Ovis aries: one gene and its partner. The protein of the gene in region 2 interacts with the protein of the main gene of each other region in a pairwise test. Links are inferred from orthologs where the notes say so. Each region holds a gene or a part of one and is shown on either strand. Other genes may lie near its edges.

Evidence for each region. The genes of interacting proteins can lie anywhere in the genome.
Region 1: the proteins of ID1 (region 2) and MYF5 interact in binary tests that used the Homo sapiens proteins (3 or more experiments, as listed by UniProt). The link is inferred for Ovis aries from reciprocal best matches to the Homo sapiens genes ID1 and MYF5.

Annotation. Positions count from the first base shown.
Region 1 is NC_056056.1:116,772,740-116,776,454, reverse strand, and holds the start of MYF5 (myogenic factor 5), read right to left. Parts: upstream 2,886-3,715; 5' UTR 2,729-2,885; coding exon 2,228-2,728; intron 1,387-2,227; coding exon 1,311-1,386; intron 906-1,310; coding exon 715-905; 3' UTR 1-714.
Region 2 is NC_056066.1:60,849,153-60,852,132, reverse strand, and holds ID1 (DNA-binding protein inhibitor ID-1), read right to left. Parts: upstream 1,658-2,980; 5' UTR 1,557-1,657; coding exon 1,134-1,556; intron 970-1,133; coding exon 928-969; 3' UTR 513-927; downstream 1-512. UniProt on the Homo sapiens protein: Transcriptional regulator (lacking a basic DNA binding domain) which negatively regulates the basic helix-loop-helix (bHLH) transcription factors by forming heterodimers and inhibiting their DNA binding and transcriptional activity.

The DNA.
Region 1 (3,715 bases), on a different chromosome or scaffold from region 2:
GATTTATCTACAAAACCGACTGTTTCAGCCCCACCTTTAGGCATCATATCAATGACTGCCAATTCCACTAGGGGGTTCTTTTAACAAAGTCATAAACCCAAATATTTCTTCACTTAAACAATTTTATTTATGGTGGAGTTTCCAAAAATCTCTTATATCTTGAAATCATCCACAAAGTACTATTTTGTGCCTAGATTAAAAATGTATTTCTTATAAGCAAATGTTAAAATATATACCATTAGGCAGTATTGTTATATTTTATTTAACACAATATAAATCAAAGGATTAAAGAGAAAAAGCAAAACAGTTAAATATATTTAAAACTCCCCTATAACTGATTTATATCTATTCTAATGTTTTAAAGAAAAAAAATAAAGCACTAAACATCAGAGGTAATATTTTGATAAGCAATATTTATAAAAATATATAAGTTAAGCATTGCAACAAACTACCTTTGATGAACGGCCCCTATAAGAAATAATATCATTGGAACTATATATCTAAAGCAAAGATGAAGGAAAAGAAGAAAAAAAGAAAGTATTAATTGCAATAGTGACTTTTTAAATACACTTTCTTATAAAGTGGCAAGATAATATTTACAAATTTACAACAGAACAGCAATGTTTATATACAGGTTGTCTTGCTTTTGGATTTTTGGTGCCTCCTTCCTCCTGTGTAATAGGCCTTCTGACAGAACTGATCTAGGCTTTTAGTTCATAGCACATGATAAATGAGCCTGGAACTAGAGGCCCCTGGAGTTGCAGGCTGAGAATCGGTGCTGGCAACTGGGGAGAGAGAGGCTGGATCCTGGAGAGGCAATCCAGGTTGCTCTGAGTTGGTGATCCGATCCACTATGCTGGATAAGCAATCCAAGCTGGATAAGGAGCTTTTATCCGTGGCATATACTAAGGACACAAGGAGAAAACCATTAAAAAAAAAAAAAAATCCTTGCTTATGCTGCCGCTTAAACTGCAGGTCAGCTCCTTCGAAACCCAAAGGTCAGGTGGTCACAGAAAGCCTGGTAGAAATTTGCAACAAATATCTAGCAATTCATGGGGATGAAGTTGGGGAGTGGAGAAGCACCTGGGTAATATTTCAAGCAAAAGCTCACGTCTGTGTGTATGTGCATGGATGTATCTGTTAGGAGGATTTTGAGCAGAAGATATGCGTTTATTTTGCCCTGCCAAAACCCCCATAAACACCATTCTGTTCTCTTCCCAGTACTGCATGGAAGAACAGACTCTACTTTGATAGGCTAAATTCTGAAGTTGGACTGGTCTTTAAACTCCTCTGAAGTCATTGGTTCTTACCATTTGGTACATCAGGACAGTAGACGCTGTCAAAACTGCTGCTCTTTCTGGACCAGATAGGGCTGTTACATTCAGGCTATAATAAAAGACACAGAAAAAGGCGTTTGTTTTCAGGTCTTGGCAAAAGGTGCTCTGATCTCAGGTGAGGCAGTGCTTGCCCACCAGCTCCATAAACTGACCACTCTCAATCACCTTTATTGCCTTGATTTAGGAAGGGCTAGCCTCACCAATCGCAAGGGCACTGAGGTCAATCTCTGCGCTTGGAGAAGAGGAGAGAGGCAGCAGAAAGAAGAGGGTGGAATTCAGCAGCAGTGTACACTGGGTTAACCATGCAAAATGGATTGGAGTAAAAGGAAGCCACACTAATTCAGAGAGAGAACACTTTCCCAAGGCAGAAACACATTAAAACCTGGCAGCGCTGGAGCAAACGCCCTCTGAAAAGAATGCATGAACAACTTTCAGCCAGGCATCAGCAGAGTAGGGGCTGGGGCCATGCAGGCATTTCTTTCTGTTTCTCCCTTCAGTTACAAACCGTGGGGCAGTGGAGGCCTCAGACAGTTGCCTTTAGATGTTAGTGTATGTCAAGGTCCACTGGTAGTATATTGGAGAAGGCAATATACTGGAAATAAACTGAGTAATGGAGGAAACATCTGACTGATCACTCACAGCCAGCTATCTCAAGTGACAACCTGCTCCTTCAGTGTGCACCTAGAGTAGGTAGGAAGTCAAGACAAAATTCTGTTCAACAGCTGTCTGTGTGCTGGCATCGGTCCAAATGTGGCATCTCTCTTCTCTTCTAAATGTGGTGGGCCCCGCCCCACCCCCCAATACCCAACTATCCACCAGTGGTCTAAATGAGATGTAAGGATTTTTGCAAAAGTTGGGAAAGCCCTAGCAGGTACAGAGCCATCTCTTACCATGCCATCAGAGCAACTTGAGGTGGGGCTGGTGGGCTCAGAACAGTTCTGCCCTGGCAGGCTATAGTAGTTCTCCACCTGTTCCCTTAGCAGCTCCTGCAGGCTCTCAATGTAGCGGATGGCATTCCTGAGGATCTCCACCTTGGGCAGCCTCTGGTTAGGGTTGGTCGTGGTGCACCGCTTGAGCGTGTCGAAAGCCTGGTTGACCTTCTTCAGGCGTCTCCGCTCGCGCATGGTGGCCGCCTTCCGCCGATCCATGGTGGTGGACTTCCTCTTGCATGCTTTGCAGGCCCACATGAGGCAGTGGCCGGCCTGGTGGTGGCCCGTGGGTGCTCGCACGTGCTCGTCCTCGTCTGAGCCTTGCAGGTCTGCCTTGTGAGCCCCGAAAGCAGCCACTCGCGGCTCAAACTCGTCCCCGAACTCGCCCTCGGGGGATGGGATGCAGGAGCCGTCGTAGAAGTACTCAGAGGGCGAGAACTGGCAGCCGTCCATCATGTCCATCGTCTGCAGAGAGGCAGGGGGTGGGCCTGGACAGCAGCGAGATAGATAGGGGAGAAACCGGAGCCTGGCGCCGCTGAGGGCCGGGAAATCCCGGGCCGAGCTCCCTGGTCCGTGTCTCTGGTAATTAACAAGGGCAGACGCCTGGCGGCCCGGGTCTGCAGCGCTGGGGCTGGGGCTCTTTATATATTCTTGGGGGAGGGAGGCCGGCCCCTGTGGCCCCGCACTATTAGCATATCCCACCGCAACCCCCGCCAGGGCTGTCTGGGCAAACCTCCGGCTTTTCTCTAGAGACAGTTTGCTGTTTACTGCCCCTTTTGACGCTAATGGTTTTACTGCGTTTCTGCTGGGGCGGAGGTGATGGCTCCCCAATCCGCTTACTTGCACTCTTTACCTAAACCAAGGGACACTTAGAGGGTGTCACAGACAAAAGGAACGAAGGAAATCCAACTTCGTACAATTGCTCTCACTTTTAAAAAGAAAATCGGTAAATAGAGCTCCCCATTTCAGTTGACACCAAAAGCGGACCCGCCTTCCCAATCTGAGACGTGAAGGATCAACTTTATTTTCAGGTAGTTCTCTTTTTCGTGAACTTTAGTTGTATCAGGAATTTTTTCAGCCAGTAGGCCAAATAACAGCTGCTAAAAACTTCAAGTGGCACTTTTAATAATGAAGTGGCTCTAGATTTTTTTTTTAATCTGTTTTGTTTCTCATCAGATTGCCAGTATGTAGGCTTTGTGTTATTGAGGGGTAACCTGGGAGGTTCCTTTTCTCCAAAAACAGCTCGCTCTGAGTTTTCTCTCTGCTCATCTGAAGGGCGTGGGCACAGGAGGGCCAGGTGACCAGGAACACCCCTGGCTTTCTCTCTTTCCCGCTTCTGCGCCTGTTTGTTGAGCGCCTCCTCCTGTGATGGACCTGCGCAGGCGGAAGATCCACCCTGACTGCGTCTCTAAGATTTGTGTTCTAAGAAACCAGGTTTTAGAGATGAAC
Region 2 (2,980 bases):
TGAAGCCCTGGGGCAGCCTGCTGGGATCCAGGGTTTGGTGGCCCAGGGGGGAGGCGTCTCCTTCTGGGGAATGGGGCAAGTTGGAAGTCTTGTCCCCGACAAGCTGAGGTTCTCACTATCCCCATTTAAGCCAACATGCAGGTCCAGTGACCTGGTTCTCCCAAGTAACCGACTTGTTGATACTCTTCAACCCAAGAGGGGGCCTTGGCAGATTGATCTGCATTTGACAACCTCCCCAGGTGACCCAGATGGCCCCAGGACCACTTTGAGAAACCTTAAAAGTCTGAAGGATTTAATTTTATGACACTGGGGAGAGGGGGAAATGGCCAGGGATGGGGCGGGGTGGGGGGGGGGAATAGATTTTAAAGACACCGGAAACACTCATTTCAGGTCGGTAAAAGCGACCGTCCAGATGTGGCCTTCCCGTCCCCTCCCCCAGCAGCAGCTGTGAAAAGGGTCAGGGGTCACCGCCAGCCCAGGTCCCTCCCATCAATCCAAGAAGTCACTGCAGCTTTATCACCATCTAAAGTATTTGTTTAATAACAACAACCAAAAAAGAAAACAACACCCCACAGAACTATTGTAAAACAATATTCTCAGTCGGTGATCATTGTAATATACAATACAAAGCAATTAATTTCCTCAGAAATCTGAGAAGCACCAAACGTGACCATTTTTTAAATGTCCGCTTTTCAAAAAATAGAAACACACGAGGGGGGACTCCCCCAAGTCTCTGGTGGCTGGTGGGTGAGAGTCAGCCTGCCCTGTCAGTCCCCCAGACCCGGGCTGGATCCTGCAAGCGCCCCGGTGGCCGCCGATCGGTCTTGTTCCTCCCCAGCTCCGGCGAGGCGCCTGGAAGGACCGGAGAGCACTTATTCTTCTCGCCCCCTGGAGGGCTGGGGTCTGCCGGCTCCCAAGGGCGACGCTTCAGCGACACAAGATACGATCGTCCGCTGGAACACACGCCGCCTGTGAAAAGATAAGAGTTGTTTTTTTTAACGATCGCATCCTTGAGCACCTAGGTGCCCGAAAGGATGGGGCGCATATAGGGTCAAGCACTCCCTCCCGCTCTGAGCCTCAAGTGTCCCCTTCCGTAGAAGAAAAGTGATCTCCTACTCCAACTCGGACCTCACCTCTGCTGCCAGGGCGCCGATTTCGCCATTGAGAGTGCTGAGCGGAGCCCGGGCGGGGAGCCCCCGGCCCCCGGGGGTCCCGACGCGGGATTCCGAGTTGAGCTCCAACTCCAGATCCCAGATGTAGTCGATGACGTGCTGGAGGATCTCCACCCTGCTCACCTTGCGGTTCTGGGGCAGGGTGGGCACCAGCTCCTTGAGGCGCGAGTAGCAGCCGTTCATGTCGTAGAGTAGCACGTTGACCGGCTGCTCCTCCAGCAGGGACGGCAGGCGCGCCCCGGGGCCGCCCGCGCAGCGCGAGATGGCCACGCTCTGCTCGGACAGGCAGCGCACCACCTCGCCCGCGCCGCCCGCCGTCTTGCCGGCCTTCAGCGCGCAGCTGGGGCCCGCGGCGGCCGCGGCGCTGCCACTGGCGACCTTCATGATGCCGGCTTCGGGAGAAAACGAAGCGGACGGAGGAGGAAGAGGACGCCGGTAGTGGGGAAAAAGTCGCGGACGCAAAGAAGCCTGCAGTGCAAAAGCGCAACTCAAGCACCCCAACCCGACTTTTATAAAGATGCCGCGCGCCTCCCCGCCCCTTCCTTAGGGGGCGGGCTCAGATGTTCAAAAACAGCCAATGGAAGGCTTAAAGGCGTGGCCTGGAGGGCTTCTGGGTCCTGCCTCCTGCTCCCCTAGAGAGAGCACCCTCACCCGCGTGGAAAAGCAACTTGAGTCGCAGGAACAGAGAGAGTGGGAGGCGGGGGAATAAGATAGCTAGTGGAGGCGAGGGCTGCCCAGAAGGCGAAACCGGTTATTACTGATCACGAAAAGATTCCAAGAATCAGTTTTTTCAGGGATATGTTCTCATTTCTCCAGCCCCATTTTACAGATGAGCGAAACTGAGGTCCCGATGGAGAAGCAGCCTGGGCTTCTGGACCCTATTGGAAGATTACCTTTGAGACTCTGATCTTCCCAATATTTGAGCTGATATTTAAACTGGCCCTCTACACTCTGTCCACCCCCGGGAGGCGGGGGGCGTTCTCCTTTCCCAATTCCCAGAGAACGCTGCTGGTGACTATTCCTGGGACCGGGCAGGCTTACCCAGGCACCTCAGGATGGGAGCAATTAATTCTGGAAAAACTTCCTTCACTACTGGAGGCTTGGGCCCCTGGGACCTGAGCAAGAAAAAGGCACCCAGAGTGGGCTGTCTTCCCTGATTTCTCCCCTGAATTTGCAGCCCCAAATCTGCATCATTAAGTAATTAAATTTTTTTTTCTCCCTTTTTGGCTTTTTTCCCCCAAAGACCGCTGGGATCAGGGTCTCCCTCCCACGGCGCGGCAGCTGCGGAGCTCTCGTCGTCCCCCCCCCCCCCCCCCCCCCAACCCCCCACTCCCGGGGCTGCTCTGTGTCAGCGTCTGAACAAGCTGCTCAGACCGTTAGACGCCAGGCCCGTGACGTCACCCATTCATAAAACCCGGACGGGCTGTCAGGCTGGCGCCGTGAGGGCGGTCGCCATGGAGACGGCAAACCGGGCCTCAGCGCTCCCTAGCTACCCCCAGCCCGGCCAGTCACCTGCAGACCTCGAGTGGGAAACCTGGGGATACGCTCGTCGCGGGCGCGGTCGCTGAGCAAGGGTCACCTTACCTCCCGGCCCCACACGTGGGAATCTCTCCACCAGGCCCACAGCTCGGGCTGCTTGAGAGGTTTCTTCACCGCCCCCCTCCCCAACTCTCTAGTTCCCGGCTCCCGCCTGGGGAAAGACCTCGGATTCCAACTTTGCTGCTGGGTGAATTTAGCTGAGTAACCCTCTCGGCCTTCTCTGAGCCCTAATGTCTGCCTGGTATTTCGGTAATGATAAAGGTGATGAA